3 linked regions of the Alligator mississippiensis genome follow. The protein of the gene in region 1 purifies or fractionates together with the protein of each later gene. This does not show direct contact. Links are inferred from orthologs where the notes say so. Each region holds a gene or a part of one and is shown on either strand. Other genes may lie near its edges. The genes, in order: SART3, TUT1 and PPIH.

Region 1 (3,987 bases):
GATACAGGATTCAGTAGGTGCAGGGAGTTCTTCACAGAAAACAGCCAATGCAAAGCCACAACACAGTGTTAACTGTTTCCTGCCTGTAAGAGCAGCAAATTGCTTGGCAACATCTATCTGAAGTCTACAATCGTATGAGCCTGACTCTGCAATTCACTGCCTTACATAGGGTTTCCAAGCAGCTACTCTCTTCCTTCCAGGAAAAAAAAATTGAGGAGGAATAGTTCACAATAACGTAATGTACTTTTAGGATGTGTCTGCAACTTACAGATATAGTCTTTCACAGCCCGCTCGAACAAATCATACACCTTCTCTCGATCAGCGTTTTCTGAAGCCATTCTGATCTCGTCCTTTAACCAGTCCAGCCAGATTTCTGTAAGAGAGCAAGCATTTCAGACCCCATCAACCAAGGACATTCCAGAGCCTGAGAAACAAGCAGGATTGTTACCATGTCACTGGAAAAAGAATCTAAGCAGAGAATTACTTTTAAAAGAAATCAGGCCTTGAAACCTGACAGTTACCTACAGTGAACTGCGCTAACCTTTGGCCAGCTTTTACCCATTTGGACACCATACGTACGGGCAAATTTGTATTTAAAAGGAGAACAGCTGGTCCCTTGTGCTGTGAACCATAATTCCCTGTGCCCTGAACTGAAGCCATCCCACAACTGGTGCCCCTCTGTGTACTCCAACACGTACTTGGCCAGAGCGATTGCATTTGTCCCTAAAAAGGGGTCCCCCTACTACCACAACACTGTCAAGGCAAAGCAGGGAAACACACAGCTGCTGCGAGTACCAAAAACAAAACAACGAAATCAGTCTTTCGGCTCTCTGCGACTTAAACTAGTAAATTCAGGAAAAAAGACAAATTTTAAGGTTTTAGCCACTGCATGCCCAGCACTTGATTTTACTGCTTAAAATATTTGCATAAGAGCAGTCAACTGTGTCTACCTAATTTGGTCTTGTGAACCCTTCATGAAGTTGAACCCCAACACTTCACACAACACACAGTTTATTTTCTGAAGAGGGAGGAGGGTTGGTATCAAGCCAGAGGGAACGGCGTCAGCGACAAGAGCTCCCGTACCTTCAGTGAGCGGGAAGAGTTCGCTCATCTTCTGGCGAGCTCTTCGAAGCTTGACCAGCTCTCCCTCCTGACGGAGGAGCTTGATCAGGTCCAGGTGACAGTTGTAGTCGAACGCGTTGATCGAAAGCTTTTTGAAAGGAAGCGAAAAAGGCGTCAGATAGGAAGCATTACTCGCTGGAGCAGAAAACGGGGAGACGAACGGCTAGATTACAAACGTGTCGGCGGCCCCGCGCGCTGCTGTCCTTGCCCTGTCGCGGAGCAATACCAGGTGCTTCAAGGACATAAACACGATGACATCTTCATAACGCTTCTACGCTTAACCTGCCGCGGGTTCAAACAGGGTCTCCGATCGAGCAGTTCAGCTTAACGCCAGGGAGATTTTGCTCACCGGGGGCTCGCGAGCCTCCCCGAGCTGCCGGGAGCGCCGGCCGCGGCTGTCGTTTCAACTGTAAACGGGGGAATGCGTCTGCCCGTTTTTAACAACCTCTACCTACAAAAATGAACGTCTGTAAGCTAGAAACACCAGAGGGCTTCAACTCCTCCGACAAAAACCAGCCAAAACGAGCAATTTTACAAAAAAGGGATCGTTTCTGATCTGTCGGATCACAACCGTTCTTTATCGCCAAGCGAAGAACGACGCCTGCGTTTGCAGCTCAACGCTGGGGCGCGTTTTACAGTCCCTCGAAGCCCCCGACGGCGGCGCCTAAACCCGGAGGGCCAAAGGCGGTGTTTTATAGTTCGCTGAAGCCGCCGACACCTACACCGGGAGGATTCAAGATGACCTCGCGGCCGCCAACGGCGACACTGACACCGGGATTAAAGATTTTACAGTCCGCTGAAGCCACCGACAGTGACACCTAAGCCGGGGGGAGCTAAAAAGACGACGTTTTTACACTTCGTTGGAGACAGGAGGGCTGAAGTCGCGGCCCCGTGCGGGATCAACTACCACCCTCGAGCGGTCGTGGACGCCCCCCTCGACCGTGTCGGCCTCAGGCGTGGGGGGGAGGGGAAAGGGCCCGCGCGCTCCCGCCACCCCCACGCGAGGACCGTGCGACCGTTACGGCGCGTTGCCATGGAGACCGCGTGCCGTGGGGGGGGGGAGGGGAGGGGAGGGGAGGGGACACCCGCCACCCCCCGGCCCGGCCCGGCCCCACCTGCTCCTCCAGCCGCTGGATCTCGGCCTCGTTCTCCTTCTCCTCATCCTCGCCGTCCCCCGACGACTCCGAGTCGCCGCCGCCGCCAGCTTCCTCGTCTTCATCGTCCTCCTCCTCCTCCTCGGAGCCAGCCCGCCGTTCCTGCTGCTCCTCGGCCGCGGCCGCCGCGGGCTCCTCAGCTCCCGCCGCCGCCGCCATCTTGTGCCGCCGCCTGCCGCCTGCCCCGCGCGGGGCTGCCACGCCGCGCGCCTGATGGCTCCAGGATCCCCGCTGCCGCAGGCGGCGGCGGGAGCGGGAAGGAGCCGCCGCTGCGGGAGTCGTCCGATCCCTCCTGTAAAAACAAGAGCCTCCCAAAAGGGACCGGCGGCCTCCTCTTGTGTTTCATCCTGGCAGGCTACTTGTTCAGCCACCTGTAGCCCCTGAGGGCGCGGGGGCCTTCGAGAAGGTCAGCGCCGGGATTGGCTGGAGCTGGGGAAGGGAGGGGCGGGGCTTAGCCGCCATGTTGAGTGTGGCAGGTTGTGCAATGCAGGCAGCTGGCCTGGTGCTGCAGTGGGCTTCCAGCTGTTTCAGCGCATCCCGCTCGTTTTGGGGGCAGAGGCAATTCCTTGCAAGCATCAGCACTGTATGTGCACCCTCCGTCCCCCCGACTGCTGCAGCACCTTGTTGGGGGATGACACACACCAGGATCCCCTGCGTTTACAAAGCTGCCCCCATCCCCAACCCTGGAGATGCTGTGGAGCTGCTCCTAATTGCTGTCAAAATGGGCCCAACCCACGTTTGAAGTGGGGTAGTGCCCAGACCAGTTTCTCCAGGAGAGTCCCCCCCCCTCCCCCCATGGTGAAGATTTGGGAGCGACCCAAAAAGGATTTTGCCCACAAATCCCTGCCCAAACTCATGGTTGTGACCTTAGCGCAAGGCCTGGGGGGCTGGCGCTTGGCAGGCTGGCGTGTCGACGTGTACTTTGGGTCGGGCAGCGTCAGGTCTCCGTCTCCGTGGCGGAGGTGTGCGTTTTGGGTGCCCCCATGCAGCTTTTGTCCAGGCATCCCAGCCTAATCTCCGCTCTTTACCCAGAGCAACGGACTCGTTGGGTGCTATGGCCTGCCGTTTGTATCGGCAAACGCAATCTTTTCTCCTGTGCCTGACGAAGGATGTCGGTGCCCGAAAGCTCGCAGGGAAAGAATTTTTTTGCAAAAATCTAGTTGGCCCAGCAGCGCAGGGGCCATCTCACCCTCTCCCCTACGCACGGCTGGGCTTCGCCACTCCTGCCCGCGAGCCCTGATAGTATTTGTTAGCAAACATATCATTTCTGATGACCTTCTGCCCCTCCAGCCACCCACCCACCTTCAACTGGGTAACGATTAGCTTGGGACTAAGGCCTGGGGCAAAAGGAACCCGCCAAAACACCCCCCCCCCCCCCCCCCAAATCATCAGCTACCGGGCTCAACCCTCGTTTCCCACCGCCCAGCAAAGGGTTAACCAGGGGCACGTGGCGACGCCATTACGCACGGTGAGGGGGCGGGGCTAGCCGCCGCGGGGACGTAGCGGGCGCGGGGACGTAGAAGACGCCGGCGCCGCCGCGTTCAGGGTCACGTGACAGAGGGGGAGTGGCGGCGCAAGATGGCGGCGCTGCGGACGGGCGGGCGGCTGGCGCAGCTGTCCCGCGGCTACCACCGCAAGGTGGTGGATCACTACGAGAACCCGCGCAACGTGGGCTCGCTCGACAAGCGCAACAAGAACGTGGGCACGGGGC
Region 2 (3,987 bases), on another chromosome or scaffold:
CCATGACCACGCTGGCCACGCCGCCAAAGGCCTGGAAGTAGTCGCTGAGCTCGGCCACGTCCGTGCCCTTGCGGAAGCCGCTGACGAAGACGCTGCGCTGCGCCTGGGCCTGGCGCTGGGCCCGCAGCCCCGCCAGCCGCCCGTGCTTGCGGCCCCGCAGGTGGTCGTCCAGGCTGGGCCCTGCCGGGGGCAGGGCAAGGGTCAGGGGAGGGGCACAGGGCAAGGGTCAGGGGAGGGGGAGCGAGGTCAGGGGTCACTGCCTGGGTCTAAGGTAAGGTGCTCTGACGCAAGGGGGTGAGGTCAGCAGCCAAAGGTTGGGGGGCTCAGTCTGACCCTACAGGTCAGAGGTCAGGCCAGCGTTTCAGCCCCGCCCTGACCCACGTGGTGACCTCTGACCCCCCACGTGGTGACCCCTGACCTCCCCCCACTAACCCCGCCCCCCGCTCACGGTTGGCGGCGGTCACGTGGCAGAGGCGGCAGCGGAAGCCCCCGCGGGGCAGCGCCTCCACATCCGGCTCCATTCCGGCGCGGGTTCCGCGCGGCCGGAAGTGTCCGTCCCTGAGATTCCCCCGGAAGCCGCTCCCCGCCGGAAGTAGCCCGTCCGCGATAGGCGTCCCCCGACAGTCGTGTTTCCCGCGCCTTCCCTGCCGGAAGTGGTCCGTCCCCGATAGGGCTCCCTCAACTCCACCCGCCCTGCCTAGGACTCTTCGTTCCCGGGCCACAGGAAATGGTCCGTCCCGCCAACGTGCCCCCCGCTCCTTCCCATCCCGGCCCCGAGGAGCCCGCCCGGAGCACAGAGGAGGGAGGGAGGGAGGGAAGGACAGAGAGAACACCGCACCCCCACTTCCGGCCTCCATTGCACTGTACCTGCTGTCCCCCTGGCCCCTGAGCCGTGGCGGCCGACCTGGGCCACGCGCTGCCCGCAGGCGTCAAGGTGGCGGCCGCCCTCGCCTTCCACACCGTGGGCACCTACCGGGCAGGGGCCGGGGCAGATGCGGGCACCAGCCAGGCCAGCGTGTCCCAGGACACGGCCGCCCTCGCCCGTCGCCTTTGTCTGCTTCCCGACGCGGCGTGCGGGGAGCCCTGGGCTGCACCCACGTGGCCCTGAAGCCGCCGGACACCCATGGCCTCCCCCCCTTCGAGGGGCACCACGACGGGGCGGGTGGCTGCCGGGCGAGCCCCAGGCACCTCAGGCACCCTGCTGTGCCCCGCACCCCTTGTAGGGGGCCGTGGGCTCTGCGTGCCAGAGCAGGGCCAGGCCGCCGTCCCTCCCACCAGTGGATGGGAAAGGACTCCTAGGCGAGGCCGGGAGACCCTCCCCGCGCCGAGGCCTAGCGCCGGTGGCAGGGTAGAAGCTCCTGTTATGGGGGCTTTGCTGGGAGACAGCTTGGGGAGGGTTGGGGGCATGCCGGGGGCCCTGCCCTGCGATACCCTGCCTGAGCCAGCTCGGGATCCCCTCCTGAGCAGGTGCATTCCCAGGTCCCTGCCTTGTTTTTCCCTCCAGCCAGATGGGGCTGTTCCAGGAGCAGGGCCCCTGCCCTGTCTTACCCCGGGGCCTGCCTGGATTGGGCCCCTGCCCTGTCCCCACCCCCCTGAGCCAACTGGGACCACGCCTACTGCCTGCTTCACAGGCGGGGCCCCCACTGCAACCCCCCACCCTGGACCTCTTCAAGAGAAGACTGGAGTCACCCTGCTGGGGCACCTGACCCCCGTTATCTTCCCTGCTTGGTGCAGGGGGCCGGACCCAACGATCTTCTGAGGTCCCTTCCAGTCTTACGCTCTACGAACCCTAACCCCATCGCACGTGCTCTCCGCAGGTGACAGTATGATTTGCTACCCTACCTACTGCAGCCCTGGCTGCTGGTGCCAGCGGAGGCCCAGTGTTCAGCAGCGGAGCAGCACTATCACGTGGCCGCCCGGGCTGCTGTGGGGAGGGCTGAAGGGGCAGTTCCAGTGCCTAGCACGCTAGGGTGGGCCGGGGGGGGCTGCAGTACATGCCCCCAAAGGTCTTCAGCATCTTCCTCGCCTGCTGCATCCTGCACAACGTGGCTGTGGCTCAGGGGCTGTCCCTACCCTCGCTTCCAGGGCAGGCCCCCCAAGGCACATCCCCCTCAAACCCTTTCCACTGCCCCCCCTGCCCCGAGGGGCTGTGCCAGCGCCAGCAGCTCATCGACAGCTTCTTCTGCCACCAGGAGCTGAGGGACAGGAGCCCCCAGACATGGGGGTCATAGCCCTTGCGCCAGTGCAGTAGTGTGGGGGTGGGGAGCTACCCCAACAAGCTCCACCCAGGGCAGGGGAGCAAGGCTAGAGCTGCCCCAGGGAACGAGGCACCTCCAGGCCCTTGGCACTGGGAGGAGGGGGTATGGAGAGACCCCAGAGTTGTGGTCTGACTGCATTCTCTGTGCAATAAACCCCTCCATGGGCCTTGATTGCAGCTGTATGTCTGTGCCTGGCTCTCCCCCCATAAAGGAGATTGTAACACCCCCCCCAAACCACAGCAGTGGCAAAGGGTGAAGAAAAGGTGTCGTTTTATTTCCCGGTTGGTCACTATAAGAACTGGTTACAGGGCGAGGTACAAAAACACCCCGGGGAGGAGAGAGAAGGGCGGGCAGGCGCCCTCCCCTCTGGCCCTGGGGGGAAGGGGGGGGTAGGTCACACAGACAGGAAGTAGCTGCATTGAAGGGGGCAGCCCCAGAGGCCCGGACCCCCCCCTCCGCCCTCCAAGGCTGGGCCCCGGCCCCCCCAGCCACGTTGTGGGAGCATACATGGAAATAAAAAAATATAAAAAGGAAAGGCCCCCCCCCTCCCGGCTCAGTCCTCCAGGACGATGGGCTCCGTGGTGCTGGCGGGCCGGGCAGGGGGCACGGGCGCCAGGGGGGCAACTGTGGGGCGTGTGGCCTTGATCTTGAGGGGCAGGTTGGGCCGGCGGGCAGCTCGCCGCATCTCCAGGTGGGTCAGGGCTTTGCGCAGTGCCCTGTAGGGGGGGAGGGGAAGGTGGGGGGGAGTATGGTCACAAGTGGGGGGGAGGTGGGTACCCCCAGACCCTGGGGGCAGCCCTGGTGTCCTCCCACCTGCCCCCCACAGCAGGCCCAGGCTCCAGCCTGCTCTGGAGCCCCCTCTCCCAGACCCCCACCCCCCAGTACCTGGTGTCCTTGGTGGCAACAAAGACGACAGGGTTGGGGGCATCAGCTGGGTTGAGCTTCTGGCGCTTGGCGGCCGGCTGCGCGCTGGCCCGGAGCCCTGAGCTCAGGGGCCGCCCGTTGGCTGAGAAGGGGACGCCACCCCCCACCACCTGCGCCGCCCACGTGGGGGGGGTAGGAAGAAGGGAAGCTCAGCTGTGCCCTGGCTCCCCAGTCCAGCCCTGGCCCCCAATCCTGCCCCAGCCCCCTACCCCAGCTGTACCAGGAAAGCCCCCACTACTCCCTCCCCATCCCACCCCAGAACCTCCCACCCTGCTGCTGGCAACCCCCTCCCAGTCCCTGCTCCATTGCCAGGTAGCCCTTCCCCCACTACGATTCCCCCCACTTCCCCCACTATGATTTCCCCCTCAAGCCCCCACCCCTCTACAGCCCCCCGCGCCCCCCGATGCCTGACAAAGCCCCCCCACCTTGCGTACCCGGGCCACGCGGTGCGCGTCACTGGCCCCCTCGTAGGCCCTCTTGCCCACGATGCCAGCCAGGCCCCGGCTCTGGCTCATCTGGTTCCGGTTGATGGGTGTCTTGGTGCCACGCGGCGTCTTGGGCTTCAGCGGGGCCTGGGCCGCTGGGTAGAGGAAGAAAAAAGGGGGCTGTAAGAACCCCTGTGGAGGCCTCCCAGTGACATGACAGTAAAGAGGTGCCAGGCCAGGTCCAACCAGTGCCCCGTTCCCAGCCCTACCCCTGACTCCCAAGCCAAGTTGGTGGCATTGGCTGTGGGGAAGCCAGAAGTCCGGGGCCATGTCCGGGCCCCGTCTCAGAGCAGGAGGTGGCCGAGAGGTGCCTGCTGGCT
Region 3 (3,987 bases), on another chromosome or scaffold:
GCTCCACCCTAATCCTGCATTTGATCCTCCTCCCCCTTCCTCACGTCAGTTAGTCACAGACCGACCCCCAGGCCAGGTGAAACCAGAGGACAAGCGCAGAGACGGCGCGAGGGAAGCAGGTAGATTCCAGACCTCCAAGACCCGCCAGATGAAGTTACGGATGAGTTCGGGCTGCGCAGGGTGCACGTTCCACCGAAAACAGAAGGCAAGTAGGAAAGACAAGGATGGCTCTCGGGTTAGAAGAATGAGGGATGACAAGTGAGGGAGGCGCCTGTCAGAGGCTGAAGCTGGCAGAGATGCTGCAGAGTGGGGGCATGGGGGGCTTTGGCATCGCCAGAGTATATTCCATGGGTCTAACCAGGTATTCCCCCTCTTTGCTGAAAGGGCTTCTGGGCTCCAGCCACCTCCTTCCCCCCCGTCAATGCCCTCTCGCTCTTTCCTCGTCTTTCATTTACATATCCCCGCTCACTAAGCAACAGGTTCCAAAAATAAGTTAAACGGTTAAATACTGCCCCATGGGAAGAACACCACTCTGCATCTTTAAGGAAAGGAAACGGACAAACTCATAATACCTACATTTACAAAGTCGCCTCCCTGGATCATGAAATCCTTTATCACCCTGAAAAGTAATTAAGAACAAAGTAAACGACTGCTTCTCTGTGAAACATCTTCCCACAAAGTTTAGTATCTCAGAAACGACAGAGAAACAGCCCATGCCACAATAAAATGCACCTAGTGACTAGGTGATGGACTCGACATGGGATGACCTCTGACTTTGGACAAAGGCTGGACAGCGCTGCCTGTGCCCTGGGTGATAAGCACCGAGAAGAACATACTTTTTATCCGGCAAGTACAAGAGTGGCCCACAGAGGCAGAGTCGCCCAAACTATAGATGCAGGGCAGAGACTTTAGAAAGAAAACACTCTTCAGATCTCCTATCCCTCGATGACTACAGGATGCCTCCTACTTTAGGGACTGCTTTCAAACCCGGGCACCAGGCTGCGTCTAGGTCACCGCGCTGTTTTGAACAAGAGGAAATTGACTTACCGGTGGAAAGTGCTCCCCTTGTAACCTATAGGGACACCATCTTTCCTACAGCAAAAGACAAGGACACAGCACTGCAAGGTGCCGCTCGTCGCAGCTCGACACTTCCAGTCGGGCTAGAACCCCGGAGCCCGCGTGCCGGACCGACGGGCCCCCCCGCGCCCGGGACGGCCCTACAGCACCTGGCAGCAACAGCCATTCAGGCAGCACGGGGGTGGGAACAAACACCATCGGACTTCTCTGCTTTCTGGTCACGACACACCTCAATATGCCGCTTCAAAGGAGCGGTGCGCTGACCCCACGTACCTGAATTCACCCGTGCAGAACTGCCTGGAAAGAGGGGAAAAGAGAGCGCGCAGCACATGAGTCGCCTGAAAGAGGAATTTGAATCCAAACCCAATCACCGCTGCTCTGACTGCTTTACTGAAGAGGGACGAGGGGACTCCCCTTCCGAGCAGCAAGTGACACTGCTGACAGGAGCAGCAGCAACTGCGACCCTTCCTCCCCAAGGGCTGTTTCTCGGCATCAGCCTGGATCAGATGTTGGATGCCGAGAACGGGAAGAGCCAAAAACGTGGATTTGGGCATCACCCCCTGGAGACCCGCAGTGGGAAGGGGGGGCTGTGACGCCCGTCGAGAAGGGAGCGGCGGGCGCCCTCTCGTCAGACAGGCCGACGGGAGACCGAGGCATTCAGCTGCCGCTCCCGCGAGGCACGCTTGGGACGGGCCCGCGGAGGCTCGGAGCGACCCCGAGAAACGCGGCCAGCCACGCGCACGTCTCTGCTGGCTGCGGAGAGCGGCCTGGGCCGGGCCCGGACGGACCCAGCGACCAGCCTGGCTCACCGGGCACCGCGGGCCCAGCACCGCGCTCGGGGCCGCCACGTCTCCCCCAAGCACCGCCGCGGGGTCGCCACCGCCCGGGGACCGGCGCTCGGGCCCCCGCAGGGAAACGCGGGAGGGGGGGAGGGGGGGTGGCGCGCTGCGGTCCCGCCCCGCCCCGCCGCACCTGAAGTTCTCGGCCGTCTTGGGTATCACGTCGGCGAACAGCTCGATCTTCATGCGGCCCACCTCCTGCGGGGCGGGGAGGGGAGAGGCGAGGCATCAGCGCCGCCCGCACCCGCCCCGCCCCCCTCCTGCGCCCCGCGCCGCCCCGCCCGCACCTGCCCGCCGATGGTGACATCGAAGAAGACGACCGGGTTGTTGGGGTTGGAGGCCAGCACCGACATGACGCCCCGCGGCCCGGAACCGGAAACACGGCGGCGACTTCCGCCCGGAAGTCCCCGGCCCTGCGGAGCATGCGCGGGAGCGGCCGCCTCCGTGGGCGGGGCCAGCGCCACGTGCTGCGACAGGCGGCGGGCTGCGAGGGCGGGAGGGGAAGGCGGGGCGGGTTCGGGGCCCGCCAGGAGACGGCGGTGCCGAGCTGCCTGCGGGGCCACCAGGCGCTCCAACGGGCTCGTGCCCGACCCGCCAGCAGCCGCTCTCCATGCCGGCCCGGCCCGGCCCTTCCTGGGGCTGCCGGGCCGCCCGAGGGGCAGGGGCGGCTGCCACCGCGGCACCAGAGGCCGGGAGCGAGGCCTGGGGCCGGCCGCCCACCCGTGCTGCCTGCCGGGCGCCCCGCAGCCCTGCGCGGGTCCGGGCCCGGTGCGGAAGGAGCCTGGAGCCGCTGCTCGCCTCTGCTTCAGAAACCCCCTAGAAGCGCCCTGGACCTCCAGACAACCAGCGTCAAGCGGAGAAGAAACATTTTTTAAAATAACACTTTAATGAATTACTTTATGATTAAAAAAAAAAATAAATCCGACAGCTTTGGGACAAGACGTTGAGCTGGGCAAACAGCTGAAAACCAGTCACCGAATAATTTAGTTGAGAGGTGTCACAAAATCCACGTAATACGTTATTTGGCGAATGCTCCTCCCCTCCTTGTGCCCCGCGGCAAGGGAGAGCTCAGCTCCTTGCCGGGGGGCCATAGACATCGTCGCAGCAGAAACCCGGCCTCTCCTCCTGCGCCTGCAGGCTGGCGGGGTCTCCGGGGGACGCCACGTTCAGGTAGCCCATCTCGGAGGGCTGAGAAGGCGATAAGGAAGACGAGGACTTTTGGCTTTCAGCGCCTTCGTCGGACTTGGCTTCTTGAATGGCTCTCAGCACGCTGAGCGAGTCCGACAGCCCCGCCGCTGAGAAGCTGCAAAAGAATTCCCGCCCCGTGTTCGCTCTGCAAACAGCGTCTCCAGCTGCGTCCTCGCGGGGCCCCACCGCCGCCACACCCGCGTGCCACATGGTCTTCGTGCTGCTACCCCCGGGGGCGGGAAAGGTCTAACGTAGAGACAGGCCAAACCCCAGATCCTCACGGGCACTCAGCTGCCTTCCTCCCGAGGAGCCTAATGCCCATTCAGACCCGTTAACTGCCCCCTCCTGTTGGCAAGGTCTGAGACTCTAACTGTGAGGTCTGTCGTGCTCCCTCGCTGCAGCAGTAACTACTAGTGCTCGGCTGTGCTGCTGCAGCACTTGCAGGCCCAGTCAAAGATCGAGCTCGGGGCCGTGCACAGTCACAGAAAGCCCCACGGGACTTGCAAACTAAAGGAGGCAGCAGCTAGTAGATGCTGGTTAGCTCCACCCCTCCGTCCTACCGCACGACCAAAAGACACGAGGGAATAAAATAAAGGGTGAAACTTGTGTTTTGAAAACAGGAATCCATGGCTTCCCTATTCCCCAGTGCTGACAGGACCTGCTATTAGTAAGCAGACCTGGTGCCTTTTTACTCACGGGACCTACCTCGTGTTTGGAAGTGGCAACATTTTACTCAGTAGCTGGCATTCAGAGAAGCCAACGCTCCTCAAGTCCTAGGAAAAGAAGCAGAACAATAATCAACTGATAAAAGGCAGGGAGGGCATGCTCAAGGCAATAAACACGTTGCAAACAAACCAGAGAGGAAAGGGATATTTTCACACAG

Evidence for each region.
Region 2: the proteins of SART3 (region 1) and TUT1 purify together in Homo sapiens (co-immunoprecipitation; 4 studies listed by BioGRID and IntAct, counting the BioPlex papers as one, with this or other methods). This does not show direct contact. The link is inferred for Alligator mississippiensis from reciprocal best matches to the Homo sapiens genes SART3 and TUT1.
Region 3: the proteins of SART3 (region 1) and PPIH purify together in Homo sapiens (affinity purification with mass spectrometry; 3 studies listed by BioGRID and IntAct, with this or other methods). This does not show direct contact. The link is inferred for Alligator mississippiensis from reciprocal best matches to the Homo sapiens genes SART3 and PPIH.

The regions. Positions count from the first base shown.
Region 1 is NC_081833.1:4,624,615-4,628,601, forward strand, and holds the start of SART3 (squamous cell carcinoma antigen recognized by T-cells 3), read right to left. Parts: upstream 2,462-3,987; 5' UTR 2,436-2,461; coding exon 2,238-2,435; intron 1,211-2,237; coding exon 1,084-1,210; intron 374-1,083; coding exon 269-373; intron 1-268. Other genes in the region: iron-sulfur cluster assembly enzyme ISCU, read left to right, coding at 3,855-3,987. UniProt on the Homo sapiens protein: U6 snRNP-binding protein that functions as a recycling factor of the splicing machinery. Promotes the initial reassembly of U4 and U6 snRNPs following their ejection from the spliceosome during its maturation.
Region 2 is NC_081838.1:3,244,492-3,248,478, reverse strand, and holds the start of TUT1 (speckle targeted PIP5K1A-regulated poly(A) polymerase), read right to left. Parts: upstream 2,413-3,987; 5' UTR 858-2,412; coding exon 449-857; intron 181-448; coding exon 1-180. Other genes in the region: metastasis-associated protein MTA2, read right to left, coding at 2,812-2,974, 3,144-3,292, 3,608-3,762. UniProt on the Homo sapiens protein: Poly(A) polymerase that creates the 3'-poly(A) tail of specific pre-mRNAs. Localizes to nuclear speckles together with PIP5K1A and mediates polyadenylation of a select set of mRNAs, such as HMOX1.
Region 3 is NC_081836.1:1,382,005-1,385,991, reverse strand, and holds the start of PPIH (peptidyl-prolyl cis-trans isomerase H), read right to left. Parts: upstream 2,311-3,987; 5' UTR 2,270-2,310; coding exon 2,204-2,269; intron 2,115-2,203; coding exon 2,050-2,114; intron 1,375-2,049; coding exon 1,351-1,374; intron 1,093-1,350; coding exon 1,048-1,092; intron 620-1,047; coding exon 577-619; intron 1-576. Other genes in the region: CCDC30 (coiled-coil domain-containing protein 30), read right to left, coding at 2,985-3,219, 3,810-3,877. UniProt on the Homo sapiens protein: PPIase that catalyzes the cis-trans isomerization of proline imidic peptide bonds in oligopeptides and may therefore assist protein folding. Participates in pre-mRNA splicing.